Tamandua tetradactyla: one gene and its partner. The protein of the gene in region 1 purifies or fractionates together with the protein of each later gene. This does not show direct contact. Links are inferred from orthologs where the notes say so. Each region holds a gene or a part of one and is shown on either strand. Other genes may lie near its edges.

The links. The genes of interacting proteins can lie anywhere in the genome.
Region 2: the proteins of ARPC1A (region 1) and ACTR3 purify together in Homo sapiens (affinity purification with mass spectrometry; 7 studies listed by BioGRID and IntAct, counting the BioPlex papers as one, with this or other methods). This does not show direct contact. The link is inferred for Tamandua tetradactyla from reciprocal best matches to the Homo sapiens genes ARPC1A and ACTR3.

The regions. Positions count from the first base shown.
Region 1 is NC_135349.1:7,367,132-7,375,232, forward strand, and holds the start of ARPC1A (actin-related protein 2/3 complex subunit 1A), read left to right. Parts: upstream 1-5,061; 5' UTR 5,062-5,198; intron 5,199-8,101. UniProt on the Homo sapiens protein: Probably functions as a component of the Arp2/3 complex which is involved in regulation of actin polymerization and together with an activating nucleation-promoting factor (NPF) mediates the formation of branched actin networks.
Region 2 is NC_135329.1:101,095,997-101,104,002, reverse strand, and holds the start of ACTR3 (actin-related protein 3), read left to right. Parts: upstream 1-4,975; 5' UTR 4,976-5,072; intron 5,073-5,227; 5' UTR 5,228-5,354; coding exon 5,355-5,398; intron 5,399-8,006. UniProt on the Homo sapiens protein: ATP-binding component of the Arp2/3 complex, a multiprotein complex that mediates actin polymerization upon stimulation by nucleation-promoting factor (NPF).

The DNA.
Region 1 (8,101 bases):
CCCACAGTAATAAAAGACAACTACAGAGCTCTTCAGAGAGATGGAGTTAGTCTCACAAATTAATTCCTCACAGTCCTGGTAAAAGGTGTGTCCTCTGGACATTCCTAGGGTGGGTGAGCAGATCTTCCACGATAAATCCACTCTAACATTCCAATCTCTCTAAGCGTTTGGGTTTCCTTATGTACCTTGTACCAGGGCAGTTCTGGCAATTTGATCGAAAGTAATGTCAGCCACCTTTTGATCCAAGTTTCAGCCAACCACCCAAACAAACTGTTAAAGCCCTTTCTTATCCCTTGAGCTACAACACTGAATCCAGAATCTCTGCTTAGTGGGCCCACATCAATAAATTCAGCCTGATCCAACTTTATATTCCTTCTACCATCATGCCACATCCTTAATATCCATTCCCACAAATATTCCCTGATTTCTGTCTATATAAATTGGAAAACTCACGCAGTTCTTTTGGAGTAGAGTATATCTCCTCATGGGTCACACTTTGTACATCACTTTTGGGGGCTTATTGGGACTTTAATCTAGTTATAGGTCTTGAAGGAAAGAGGGGTAGACGGGGGTGGGTCAAGAAAGGAATTAGAAGTGTCTTTCAAGCCAATTACCTCAGAGTATTCTTTTGCAGTTTCAACTGGTGAAACAAGGATTAATCACTCCAGACAGAGGACTGAGGGCTGTTTCCTTAAGAGTGGTAGTTATGGATTTATCAGGAACTGTATGGTTTATATCTCTCCAGGTGGGGGCTGGATGGCAGATTCCTCAGAGCAGACTGGAAGCTGTTTCCTCAAGGCAGGCTGGCGGTCCAGTGGCTGTCCCCTCAAGGCAGACCACTACAGGTTTTTCTAGCAAAGACTCATCAGAATCTAGGGTTTCAACGTCTCCACTGCCATCATTATCAACCCATATGTCCCCATTCCAATTTTCAGGATCCCATTGATTTCCAATTAATGCCTTTAATTAAACAGCAGACACCCTGCAAAACTGGGAATTTAGTTTACACTAACTCTGCCACTCCCGCAGTGAGATTCTAGGCCTGGTTTTCAGAACTCTCAAATCTGCAGCTACAGGAAATAAGATTTTCTTTCAGGACACACATAGATACTTGCATATCTTTCCTGCAGTGCATGAGTTGCAAATTTGAAAACTTCAGTTCATCACTTTCATTTGTAATTGTATCCAATGTATTTAGGAACAAACAGTCAACATCACGATACCTTTTAACTCCACAAAACTCTGTTAAGGTGTCAAAGACACTTTCATCCAGAGCCTTGCCTCTTCTAAGCACATGCGTAGCCGTATTCAGTGGTGATATTTTGTGTATCTCTATTGTTAATTCATGTCATGGATGGTCAGTGCTTTACTGATTACCGGAAATATAGTCATGAGTGCCTGTGAATCTAAACAGAGTAAAGAACCAATTACAAAGACCCAGAACCAATTTTAAAAGCCCATTTTTTAAATTCTGCTTCTCAATGACTGCCCCACTTCTGGTATCAAAGCTGTATTAATTAAGGGTTCTCTAGGGAACCAGAACCAACAGAGATATCTATAAATATGCAATTTTATATAAGTGTCTTACACAGGCGTGGGGATGCATGGGTCCAAATTCCATAGGGCAGGCTATAAGCTGGTAACCCCAATGAAGGTTTTCGATGAATTCCCCAGGAGAAGCCAGCTGGCTAAAGTGCAGATGAAAATTCTCTCTGCTGACTACTGAAGTTAGCACTTCTCCTTTTAAAGCTTCAACCGGTTGGATAAAATATTTCTCACTGCTGAAGAAATTCTTAGTTGATTGTAAATGTAGTTAGCCATAAATGCAATCAAGTTACTAATGTTTTAAGTCCACAAAATGTCCTCTCTGTAACAAGCCAGTGTTTTCTTGAACAGACAACTGGGTATCATAACCTGGCCAAGGTGACATATAAACCTAAACATTACAAGCCTTAAAACCATGAGCTAATATATTGTATGGTATTTGTAAGAGCAGCTTTGACAAACTAAGACACCAAGCCTCCACAGATTAAAGATGATCATACAATAAGCAGCTGCCTGTTAGAGCAAATATCAACACTCCTTAGAGGAAGATAACAGAATTCAGAGCCTCAACAATGGATCATTCACAATATCCAATATACACAATAACAAATTATTAGACTTACAAAGAAGCATGGTAAAAAAAAAGCAACCAATAAAAAAAGACTCTCTGAGATAACTCAGACAAACGTCATTTAAAGATAAGAACAGTCTTATGAAACTTAATCCCACAAAGGATAGGTCAAGCCTACTCAAAATTAGGCCTAAGAGTCACCCCCAAGAGAACCTCTTTTGTTGCTTAGATGTGGCTTCTCTCTCTATCCAACACAACAAACTCACTGCTCTCCCCCTGTCTACATGGGACATGACTCCCAGAAGTGTGGACCTTCCTGGCAACACAGGACAGAAATCGTAGAATGAGCTGAGACTCAGCATCAAGGGATTGAGAAAATCTTCTCGACCAAAAGGGAGAAGAGCGAAATGAGACAAATAAAGTGTCAATGGCTGAGAGATTCCAAACAGAGTCAAGAGGTTATTCTGGAGGTTATTCTTAAGCATTAAGTAGCTATCACCTTGTTATTCAAGATGTAGTGGAGAGGCTGGAGGGAACTGCCTGAAAACATGGAGTTATGTTGCAGTTGCCATGTTTCTTAAAGATGATTGTATAATGATATAGCTTTCACAATGTGACTGTGTGATTGTGAATACCTTGTGTATGATGCTTCTTTTATCTACCTTATCAACAGACAAGTAAAACATATGGAATAAAAATAAATAATAGGGGGAACAAATGTTAAAATAAACAGATTGAAATGTTAGTGATCAATGAAAGGGAGGGGTAAGGGGTACGGTATGTATAATTTTTTTCTGTTGTCTTTTTGTTTTTCTGATTTGATACAAATGTTCTAAGAAATGATCATGAGGATGAATATGCAATTATGTGATGATATTGTGAATTACTGATTATATACATAGAACAGAATGATTACATGTCAAGAACGTTTTTTTCTTTCTTGTCATATTTTTTTAAAAATTTAAAAATTAATTTAAAAAAATTTTTAAAAAAAGATAAAAACAGTAAAGTAGCTATTATAAATCTGTAAAGGACTTAAAGGAAAACATGGTCATAACTAGGACCTTCCAAGTCTGAGGTACTGTGAATTTTCTTATATTTAAAATTGTTCATGAAGTGGTCTTACGCTAGTCTAAGTTTCCTAAAGACAGTGGGATTTTAGTCAACTCTTCTGTACAGTCCATGAAGTGTTTAACACAATACTTGGCATTATTTATTATTTAATGAGTGAATACTCATTAACTATTTGATGAATCTTAACCAAATTCCAATTCAATCCAACACCGAAAAAACCAATAGGGCAAACAAAATTATCACATAGCAGTGTCTAATGCCTCTCTTTCTCCCACCTCTTACTGCCTTTCTTGCTACTAATTTTTTAAAAGGCAGAGGCTTCCTTTTGGATAATAAATCAGTGTTATTAAAAACTGTACAAATCTAAAAAACATTAAAAATAACTCATACTCCTAGGAACTCCAATGGTTTCTCTACCAGGGCATAATGGGGTTCAATAGGTGTCAGGAGGCCAGTCCACTTTCTCAGTTAAAGAATAAAGTGGTTAAATCTATAAAGGCCCTTTTAAAGCTACCATCTACAAAAATGCATCAAGTGGTAACTGTTCAGGCAGTAACCTCTGTTGAGGCTACAATGCAAAATGGTGATTTAAAAGATAGAACCAAAGATTAATATTAAATGTGTCTGTCATTTTTCTAGGCCTAACATTTCTTGTTATTATCATAAAGAGTCTGTTTTTGTTCATTTGTATGTTATTCTTCTCTCCTAGATTATAAACTCCTAAAAAGAAGAAATTGTCCTTTGTAAGAAGGTGGAATCTAGTTAGAACATTGTTGATACTTGACTGTGGGTACCAACTCAACATAATCGTGGACCAGTTTAGGTAACTTGCAGGCACATGATGAATGAATCCGTGTTTCCCATGAATGCCATCTTTCCTTTGCTAATATGGTGATCGCCTCTCGAAGGGGTGATTAATCTTAAAATCTTTCTACTCTGTCCTCGATTCCCCTATGACCAAAGACTTTGTAGCCATAGGACAACGTAAAACCAATGACTTCCAGTTCATTAGTGGTACATGAACAGCCGGACTAACTAACCCAACGAACCTAATAGTGTGGTTCTGAAATAGGGAGCTCAACAAATTTCCTTTTTGTAAACATCACCTCACCATCAAGCGTGGGGTCAAACATGAAAACCACCAGTGAGAAGGCAATAAGCACTTAGCAACCTTTAGCGGCACAGAGGACAGGAGTGCTGCTCCAGAACTTTCAGGGCTTCAAGGGCGGCATCTTTTTGCACCAGGATTATTTCTCAGAAGCTGCAGCTGCACGGCAAGCACAGTCTTCCCACGTTTTGGGGAGGAGGTTGGTGGTGCTTAGTTCCTCAGACTTCTCTTTCCTTTGGTATCATCTTGGACTTCCAATCACAAACAGCAAGTGATTCTGACCAAGGAAGGGCTGAGTTTTTAAAGCTCCGGGCAGAGGGCCTCAGAGGCTTTCCAAGAGGGAACAAGGCGGAGGCGGCGACCCCTGGCCCAGCGAGGCCAGAGGGACCTGGAGCACACAAGCGCCGCAGGGAGCCGAGCACAGGTCCACTGGCCTTGACTGGAGTTGGGGTGGGGTGGGGGGGCGGTCTCCGAAAGAAGAAAAACGTATTCGTTCGTCAGGCACACATGGTTCGAAAAACTCCAATTCTCAGTTAATTCCTGTGTTCGACAAAAGCACTTGGGAAGCCCCCAAGGTTCCACATCTCGGCTTGCGAGTCTGAGAAAATCTTCCGCGAGGAGTAAAAGCGCCCAGCTGTCTCGCTGCCACCTCCAGGCGGTGCTGTGGCGCCGCTCCTCGGCAGCCGCCTACCCCAACGCCGGAACGCTCAACCGAGCTGTGCGCGTGCGCAGACCGCCCGTTTGGCCGCGGTGCGCAGGCGCTGTGGCCGTTTCCGGGATCTGTCAGCCGCTCCCTCCCGGCCTCGGTCTCCGCCCGCGCGCGCCGGAGCCTGTTCGCGTCGACTGACCAGAGTCCGCGAATTTTCCGCTCCGCGGCCGTCCAGACTACCCCGACCTCAGGTAAAGGGCAGGGGGGCGAGCTTCTGGCGCTGTTGGCCACCTCTGCTCGGTCTGTCCACGGGGATTTAGCCCAGGGGGCGGCGAGGCGGGGACTTGGGCCGCTGGGCCCGGAGGCTGAGGGGCGGGTTGGGTCCCCGTTCCCGGGCCTGCTGAGGGGGCCACGGGGGTTCCCCACTTTTCCGTGGGGTCCTCACAAGAACAGATCGCTTCTCTCAAGAATTTCGAGCGCCAAGCCTCTTCCAGTGAAAGAATTAACAGCTCTTTAACCTGCGCGCCCAGGGCCCTGTTCACACCTCGATTGTGAGCATATATCACAGTCTGTATAAAACTGATAATAAGTGGGATGATCTTCCCCTAATCGAGTGCCATGTCTTTCTCCAAAGTCTAGAATAGGTTCTTACACACAGTGGAGCCCATGGAATGAATGTTTGACTCCTCTCTAGGGCAGACCTCATTCTTCAGTTTTGGGGGAATCCCCGAACTCGAGAAAAATCTTCCCTTTGAGTTCCTTAAAATTCCCCGTCTCCCTCAAATCACAAGTGCACCCGCCTCTGAGATCTTTTATAAGATAACATCTTTCACGTTTCTACCCTATAGTCGATCTCCAATCCTGGCATCGTCGCTGTTTAGGGGGTGACCCTGGGAAGAGGGCTTCTTTGCGTCTCTGTTAGTTCATCTGCAATAGGACAGTCATTACGGTAACCTACAGTCATTACGATAACCGTTTCTTAGGGTTTTTCTGAGGAGCTTATGAGTTTATTTGCATGAATTGCCAAAATAGTTTGCCGCCCAGGGTAGGTGCTCAGTAAATGTAGTAGTATTGCTGCTTCTTTGTGTTGTGTACATGTCCATCTTCCCTTCCTCTCTTGCCTGTCCTCTCTCCCCAGACATAAGAACCAGAAAGGTGTCAGTTTTAATTATGTTTCTGGCCCCATCCCTCTACATATTGCATTGCTGGGGACCTGTAAAGCACTTAATCAATCGTAGCTTAGAATTTTTTATTACAAAGCCATCCGTTCTCACACTGTGGCTTTGGAACGTGACGGACATGCTTAACTTACTTCTACCTCTACTTATTGCCTGAATTACCTAAGTTATCTTCCTTCTGCCCTCCTTTATTAATTTTATCCACCTTTTAGTTTCAGATGAGCCCTAAGTCTTCCCGGTTATCTTAAAAAAAAAAAAAAAAAAAAGGAGAGGATATCAGTCAAGAGGGTATTTTTGACCTTTTAGGAAGTGGGTGTAATTGTTCTGTGGCCTCCTACCACAAAGTTTTTTGAGACCCTCTGAGATTAATCATCTACTAGTCACAATTGAAGGAAGGGATCATCTTGAAAATTTTAAACTCCTGCTTTGGAGGGAGAGTGTCAGTATTTTCATCTTGGTCTAGCTATTTAATCCTATGCTGAAATAAGTTCTGTATCAAGAAGTTTCAGGTGGTCTGCTGGGGAGGCCAATGTCTGGAATTGGAGCCATAAAGGCTGGGAGGGTGTGGTAACCTGGTTGCAGTACCTGGTATTGCTGGATTGGGCAATTAAAGCAGGATGAATCAGTCTTGAAATCTGACCCCAAACAGGTCAACCGAAATTCCCAGTTGTATGAATACATTGAAGCTGCAGAGGAGCAAGGTCAAGAATTTAAAGCATACATAAACTTTTCCAATTCAGCTAACTGGCACATTCTTCTAAGGATGGTTCACAAGCTCTTAGGGTCAAAATGAAAAAAGAGCTAATTTACTGAGCATGTAATTTGGGCTAAGCTCAAAATAGTTGCTTTCGCATGTTATTTCTTTTACTCCTCCTACCAACAGCCTTGTTGTCAGCGATATCTCCATTTTACAGATTAAAACAATTAGATTTAGAGCTATTGAGTAAATTGCCCAGGGTCTCACATCTATTAGGTGTCAAAGCTAGGATTCTAACCCAGCTCCCCTTGGCTTCAGAGCTCATGGGTAACTGTACAATCAGAATGCCTCTGTACTCAAAGTGATGAGTAAAGAAAGGGGATGGGGGAGAATCCTGGAATCATGCTGTGCTGTATATTGTTTTTAATTCTCTCAGTGCTGGACAATGCAAGATAGTCAGTAAAAAACTTGTTATATTTAATGGCACTACTTTTTTGTCTACCCTTTTTTCTCCTCTCTAACCCCATTAAGACATAGGTTTTCAGATTTCACTTAAATATTAATCGCAGTTTAGAAGTTATAATTATCATTTTACTACAGATGGCTTCGTTTTCTTGGTACAAAATTCAGGCTGTTATTAAAAATGCATTTCTCTGCATTCACTGAATTTGGTGGCATACAAGCTGTTTTTACTAAGTTATAAATTTGACAAATATGAATATTGTCTGGCTGACAGACTTAAAATAGCCACATGATTGTAAAAGAAGGGCAGGTCTGAGTATATGTCCAAATATAGAACTTGAATGATATAACAAAATTAGAAATGCAATTTTAGAAGTAACTATGCCATTTAGAAGTAATGTTTGCCTTTTTGGAAGCCTTTGCTACATTGCTTATTAAGCTGAGTTGAAAAATGGAAAAGCTCTTCTTTTTTAACTGCATGAAACATGTTTTTATTGCATGTAGCTATTCATATTAAATTATTAATTCACAGACCAATTTGGTTTCACTTAACAAATGAGCCTATAAAATGTGGCTTTTGAACTAAATTGGTTTTAATTAAGGAGATATTTGTGACACAACATGTAATCTTGAATATCTATGAGTAAAACCTGTTGTGGTAAGCATCTGATATCAGAGATAAAGAATCATGCAGTGAGTAACTGGAAGTTCATTTTTTAAAACAATAAAAGTGGTCTCGTTTGAAATTCATTTGTTTATTTTAACTTTCTGTTAGGTCTTTTTCTTTATGAGTTACAATTTGCTTTCTAGAACAAAA
Region 2 (8,006 bases), on another chromosome or scaffold:
AAGCCTACCTAAAATTAGGCCTAAGAGTCACCCCCAGAAAACCTCTTCTGCTGCAAAGATGTGCCCTCTCTCTCTAAGCTGACACAGCAAGTGAACTCACTGTTCTTCCCCTCTATGTGGGACATGACTTCAGAGGGTGTAAATCTCCCTGGCAACGTGGGACAGAAATCCCGGGATGAGATGGGAACTGACATCAAGGGATCCAGAAAACCTTCCCCAAGAGAGAAATGAGAAAAAAATAAAATATTAGTGGCTGAGAGATTTCAAATAGAGCTGAGAGGTTATTCTGGAGGTTATTCTTATACATTAAATAGATATTCCCTTTTTTATTTTATGGTGTACTGAAGTGGAGAGAGGGAAGTACCTGAAACTGTTGTGCTGTGTTCCAGTAGCCTTGTTTCTTGAAGATGATTGTATAATGATACAGCTTTTACAATGTGACTATGATTGTGAAAATCTGTGTTTGATGCTCCTTTTATCTAGGACATGGACAGATGAATTAAAAATGCACAAATAACAGAGGGAACAACGTTTAAAATAAATTGGCTAGATGGAAATACTAGTAATCAATGAGAGGGAGGGGTAAGGGAAATGGTAAGTACGAATATTTTCTTTTTTCTTTATTTTTCTGGAGTGATGCAAATGTTCAAACAAATGATCATGGTGATGAATACACGACTGTGTGATGATATTGTGAGCTACTGATTGTACACCATGTATGGAATATTTATAAGTTTGTATATTGTTTTATCAATAAAAATATTAAGAAAAGAATTAAAAAAAGAAAATATATATGTTAAAATGATAAAAATGCAAAAGAAAATAAACAAATATCCAATATAGTGTCTTTAGTCCACCTTTCTCATAAATTCATAGGTCTATTTGTAAAAGAAAAGTGTAAATACAGAAGATTTGAATAACACAACACATATATACACAGGTATATATCTGTTTACAGCTATGAGGCTTTGTGCTAAAATCAGGGATTGATTAATCTGGAATTATTAGAAAAATTCTCATTAAAGCAAAAAATAAAATTTAAACTGCTATACTGTAACATTGCACAAGAGACCCTAGACTATGCAATAAGAGAAGACAACACAGTAAGAAAAGCCCATATTGAAAAAAAAATGAACCATTCACTATATAAAGATAGTTGATGGGAAATTAGAAAAATCCAAGCTACTCTACTGAAAAACTGCTAAAACTGATAAGAGCTCACCAAGTTAGCCAAATATCAGGTCAGTATATAAAAAGCAATTGTTTTCTTATAAAATCAACTCTCATTGCATATACATAATGATATATATATATATACATATATAAAAAGATCCCATTGACAACAGTAATAATAGCAACAACAAACAGGTACTGAAATATACCTAAGTGGAAATACGCAACCCTTTAAGGAGAAAATCATGAAACTTTACCCAAAGACTCAGAAAAAGTGGAGGGACAGGCGATCTAAATTAATGGAGCCACACATTTGTTCCTAAAGAAAACATTAAAATACTTAAAGGTGTTGACTATTCTCAAATTATCCTAAAAATTCATTGCAGTCCCAATCAGAATCCTACTAGGATAGTTTTATGCTTTTCTTTGAATTCTTACATGTTGTTTAGATCTTTCAAAATTAGAATATTCAAAAAAAATTAGAATGTACATTAGAAGTGGATAAGGGCTTGACAATCAAGGGGGAAATAGGACTGCAACTACATAATGGAGGCAAAGAAGAGTTTTCCTAGAATACAGGAGATCTTCTAGGGTGTCTCTTAGTACTACCATGCCCTGTGATTACAGTTAATGGAAAACTGCAATAACCCAATCCAGGCAAGAGTACCAATGGCCCAGAAACTTCAGGAATGAAGGTCTGGATCACCCCACTAGGCAAAAAACCATGGCCAGCTTAAGTGCTTGCTGAGGGTAAAGGGAACATGGAATGGGTAGGAGAAGAAGGTAGTGATAAATATGAACTACAACCATGTGACCAGTTACAGAACCAAGGACTGTGATTGTATGAATATTTATCCCTGTTTTGAGTATGTTTGCATTTGCGCATGAGCAAGTATCTTATTTTCCTCTTATGATATGACATAAGTTGTATTGCTCATGTTATAGTATTTAAGTCATAGAATATGAAGTTTAAGAGTGAATTTTACCTAAGGAGTTGCACCTTACTCTGGAGACATGTAGTACATTTCTGGTTGTATGGAGGACAGTTGAGTATTGTTAGGCAAAACATTTGTCTGTTATTGTGTTCTATTTGGAAATTAAATGGGTTTCAATGTGATGTGTATAGCTGCCAGGTTGACATAGGGTGAACTGTTATGGTTAGGTTCTCGTGTCAACCTGGCTAAACGTCCATACCCACTTGTCTGGTTAGGCAACAGACTGTTGCCACAAGGATATTTCATGGGTGGTTGATAAACCAGAAGGCTGGTATATTAAATCATCAGTCAGTTGATTGCATCTGTGCCTGATTACATCTGTGATCAACTACAGTCTCCCACAATGAGTTAATCCAATCAGTTGAAGGCTTTTAAGGAAGAAGAGAAACTCTTTCACTGCTTCTTCTGCCAGCTAGCCTTTCCTGTGGAGTTTGTCCAGACCCTTCATCAGAGCCACCAGCTTCACAGCCTGCCCTGTAGATTTTGGACTCTTCCATTCCCATGGTTGTGTGAGACACCTTTATAAAGCTCATATTTACAGATCTCACCTGTTGGTTTGATTTCTCTAGAGAACTCTTATTAACATACACACAGTACATTTTAGTATTTTTAAATGTTAATTCTGGGATTAATTCTCTGAGGCGTCTGGTTTTTTTTTTAAAAGTTGTAAACCAACTGGTGATATGAGAGATTTTTTTGAGCATTAGCTCTTCTATTATGAAGGTTTGCCCAAGTTGAATGCAAATTGAAGGGTCCTCCCTGTCTTTTCTGGGCACATGTCCTGTTCTGGGCTTGTGCTTGCTAGTGGCTTAGAGGTTCTCATGTTTACAGGAGTTTCAGTGTCTCTCTACTTTCCAGGAGACAGATTTTCTCCTTCTTAGGTGTTCCACCATGGAACTCAAGCCTTTGCCTCATGCTGTTTTGGTCAATGGTTTCTTATACTCCTTTCCAAGTGTGTCTCAAGCTGCTTTTGCCTGGAGGGCAAATTCTGGGAGAGTAAGGTGCACAGTACAGGAGCTGTTTTTCTCAGCTGCAGAGACCCACAAAGGGAGAGCTAGCTGACTTCGAATTGTCCTGGAGAAGTATGATGAGGAGCCAGGAGCTTTTTCCATGGCTCCCCAGAGGTGTGCTTTCTTGAGCTGCCCAGTAAATGTAGCCCTTTAACCTCTTCCACAGCTCTGAGCAATCATCCTGTTTGTCTCCCTGACAGTCTTTGTTTGAGGTTGATTGGAAAGACGGCTGCCCCTTAGTGATCCAAAGCTGTTCAACAAAAGCAGTGATCAGCAATTGGCCCATGTCCACCCTGGATCATGAGGTAGAATTTTTATGTCCTTTTCCGGCACCAGCAAGCCATGGCTGGGGCTAGATCCCATTCTTGCCAGCCAAAAGAGCAGGACTATAACCACTGTGGGAGAGGGGAATTTACTGGTATTTTCTGTAACTCGCCAGTGTCTTCCTCCTGCTCTTCCCTAGATGTGATATAGTGTTCTATAGTTGATACACTGTTCCTGCCTGTATAATAGTTGTTCTGGTGGAGGGACTGATTCCTGGAGCTTCCTATTCTGCCATCTTCCCACAATCAAATATTTACTTAGCTTTTAGAAGCCATTTCCTCAGAGAAGACGTCCCTATTTTCCACTTTCCCTCAATCTCTCATCCTTTCCCCCATTTCTCACAATCTCTGGCTTCCTTTCTATTGCTGTTAACACTTTTTTGGGGGGTGGGGGGCATTCCATAACTGTAAAGTTGATGAGAGCAGAGACTGTTCTTTGCCTATTGAATATTCGGGATCAGCACATTCCACTATAGGGTAGGTGAGCAATAATTACCTGTGAAATGAATGATTGAAAAACCCGCATTTCATGCCCCAGGTCCACCTAACACCAGACGATGTGATCTTCTGGGGCCTCATTTAAGGAAATCCAGGATAGTTTATCAAGATAAACTTGGTGGAGGGAAAAGTTATCATGAAACTTCTAGGTTCCAAAATCTGCACATCAGACCTGGGAACTTGATAGAAACGCAAATTCTCAAGCCCACTCCAAACTAACTAATCAGCAAACTCTGAGGGTGTCGACCAGCAAGCGTGGTCCCTCCAGGTGATTCTGATGAATACAGTTTAAGAACCACTGATTCAGGCTTTCCAGTTTTTCACTTTTATTTTAAAAATTTTTGGTTTTTAATCCCTAATATTATTCTGCAAGTAGAATCTTACTACTCCATATTAAATCCTTTCCCATCGTTCCTTCACAAAGGTCTATCATTGTAGAGTATATTACATAGAACAAATTCTTGGGATGGTTGCCGTCTTTGCAGCCACAGGCCTGCCCTCTGGATAGTCTACAATCTAAAGCCCTATAACAATGTAGAAGTGTAACTGAATAAAAGCTCCGAACAAAGGCAGAGTAACAGCCATGGTGCAAGCCTTTGTTGCTCAGTTTCCTGATTGCTCTACCTTTCTGAAATCCCTTCTCTTCACACGGAAATGCAGCCACTCAAATCCTAAGAATAGTTGTGTGCCGCTGACAACGTTTTCAATTAGGCGATTTTCCCCTGAGCACTGGCGAAGACATTCGGGATTGCGGGATGCACCTCCACATCTTCCCAAATCCAGCACAGGAATTACTGAAACTAAATGGAAGGGTGGAACCGAAAAGCCCCTTCAAGCTTCAGAAGGAGAACTGGTGGCTCGGCACACTTCCTCTACTCTCTTGGAAAACCCGTAGTGGCACTCGCTAGCGTCAGGACGGGAGCCGCGGCCGGTGGCCGGTTGCCCACTGCGCATGCTCCGTCGCCCCGCCCGCTCGGAGCAGGAAGAGGGAGCGCTCGCGGCCTGGTCCTGGCCTGGCCCGGGCGTCGGCACCGGCGGCCATCTTGGTTTCCCGGGGAAAGGCGGTGTGAGGGGTAGAAGTTGTAGGGTGGGGGCAGGAGTGAGGGGGAGGGAAAAGAAAGGGGGAGGAGGCCGCGGCGGGACAGGGCGGGGACTGCCTGCTTGGGTTGCGGAAGTGGTAGCCGCTGACCGAGACTGCCGCCTTCTCGCTACTGCTCTGGCTTCCCAGTTCCACCCGGACGGAGAGGGCAGCCCGGCTGTGAATGGTCAGATAGCCCCCATCTCGCGCCGCCAATCCCCGGCCCCAACCAGCACGGAGCAGACGCCGGCAGTGGCAGCAGCAGGCGAGGAGGAAGATGGCGGGACGGCTGCCGGCCTGTGTGGTGGACTGTGGCACTGGGTAAGGGGGCTGAGAAAGGAGGGAACGAAGGGGCTTGACGACCGGGGGTGGGGAAACTGAGGCGGAGGAAGGAAAAATGGCGGGGGAGGGAGGAGGCCGGAGACTGGGAGATGAATGGTGCGGGGAGGTGCCGCTGCCGGCTGTGTCAGTCGCTGCTCCTTGGGTGGCGAGGGGTGGGGCTCGGAGCCAGGGGGCCTCCCTCACCCGGTCGCTTCACCCTCCTGGGATCTCAGCGGGGGTTCGGGGCTGCTGAATCCCCGGGGAGCGTCTTCCTTCGCGCGACCCGCTCCTACCCCTTTTCCCACCTCGCGGACGCTGCTGGCGGGCGGTGGTGGAGGTGGTCGCCTAGCCTGGCCCTCCCGGGGTTCCTTTGCCTCCGCGCCCCACCCTGCCTGTGGGCGCCGGGACGGAGGGGACAGAGCACGGGGACCCGCTTGGAGGGAGAAGAGAGAAGCGTCCCTTGGAGGTTTTGCAAGATCGCTGAGACAACGCTGCCCCGGGTGTGGGTGGGGATAGGGAAGGATCGGACTCTTAAAATGGGAACCTAGAACGGGGCTTTCATTAGACTACCCACCTCCCCTTCCTTTTCGACTCCCGGTCTTTTCCATCTCCCTTTGCGTCTTTACGGGTGAACCAAGTCACATTTTAATTTGAGGGAGAAAGATGTCATGTGTTACTTCTGCTTCAAAAAAGTCCCTCAGTGAGCAAGCGCGCTACAACTTCCTTAGTTTTGTCAAAGCCTCTTCCTGCTTTCAGTCTTTTATACCCTTATAAGGTAGTTTTTCGTTTCCAACCTGAGCATATTTTATCAGATCTTTGAAAATTAAGCAGGTTTTGAATGGACTGAATTACCGGTGCTAGGTGTTAATTTATGTGAACTTAAAAAAATGTATGTTCCACTGGGGAAGAGGTAAGGGGGACACCAAGGAAAATAAACCATTAAGTTGTATGCTTTCTGTGGTGGTGACTTGAGAAAAAAGGTATAGAGGTTATTACAAAACCGTTGTGCTTAATTTTCAAGGAGTTGATTATGATAAATTTGTAGTTCCCTTTGTATTTTAAAGCGTTCTAGCACAATGTATAGTTAGTTATGTAGAGAATAGACTTTATATTTTTAAAATGTAGACTTTTATGTTAAATATTGAACTATCTTTTTTATTTGTGATGCTGTATTATTACACCTCTTTATTTCTGAAAACAGGCTACATTTTAGGGGATAGGGAGGTATTAAAAGGGAGGATTACCAGCCTTCTGCCCCCCCCCCCCCGTTTATTATTCAGCATATCATTAAAAGTATTGGTGGGCCACTCTTACTTGCTATTATATGAAATTTCATCTGTTTTCAAGCTCATAACTTAATGCTAGTGTGGTAATTTCCAAAGATCCAGCAGCACACAGGGAAACAACTGACATCTTAATATTTTCGCTTGGAAACATCACCTAGTTTAGCGATGGCACTTCTCTGTATTTGTTTGATGGGCAGTTTATTAATGTTAACTTCTTCTTAAGGCAGACTTATTTTCCTGATGAGCATTTTTTTTTCCTCCCTACTTAGCCTAAATTGTGAGTAAGTAGTTTTATGTTTAGGGTCAGTTTTAAAATAAGATTTGGCTTGACAGAGTAGGTTTCTTTTCAGGTGTGTTTTGTTAAAGTGAAAAACACTGCCTCATAATTAATATGTGATGATTTAGGAATAACTGGCGTATCAATAAAAATAATGATTATATCACTGTTGAATAGCATGCCAACATCTTAAGTAATAAATTACTTTTTCTTTCTCCATCTCCACTTTTGAAATACAGTTTTTGTTATCTTTGAAGTAGTATAGTAGGTTAACTGACCTTACGAGACCTCATTTCTGAAAGGGCCATCTTAAATTTAAACAAATGCTGAATAATTAGGAATGGGTTTAGACTATACCTAGCTTATTTCTATTCCACTATAGTACATTTGTCACTGCTCTTCTTTCGGTCACTAGACAAGGAGAGGTAGCTAACTGGACACTCATGATTTGAATGGAACTGATTAGGAGTCCCACTGTCCCTTCATTATCTTTTACCATCTGCTACAGTAAAAAATTCCGCCCTAAGAAATTAATTTCTTTTGGTTCCCACAAGGCATTCTTGGTCTTTCCAGTTGCCTGTTGAATCCAGTTCCTGGAAAGTTACACCTTTGGCTTCATTAATGTATTGAAGATAGCTAGTTGAGATTATGATAAGCATCTCTAAGTAAGGCCTTAACAGGGATTTTTATGTTCCAGAATACTGTGGTCCCCAAATACAAACTGTATTTAATTATCTGTGTGTTCCTTTATGCTTTAGAGAAGGCATTCACCTCTTGAGTCACTAATTACAATTAACCACTTAATGTAAATGAAAAATTATAACCTGAGTCAAGTTGCTCATTCCATTTCATTATATAATTTAGGCAAAAATTGGCAGAAAAATTATTATGAAACTTGTTAGTCTTAGGATAAGAAAAGCTGTGTGATTTAGGAAACATGATTATCAAAACAAAATTAGGGATCCTCCAGCAAAACTCAACATAAGTAAAAGAATTACGTAGGCTCATCATAAAAGAAAATACTTATTTTGAAAAGTATTCAGAA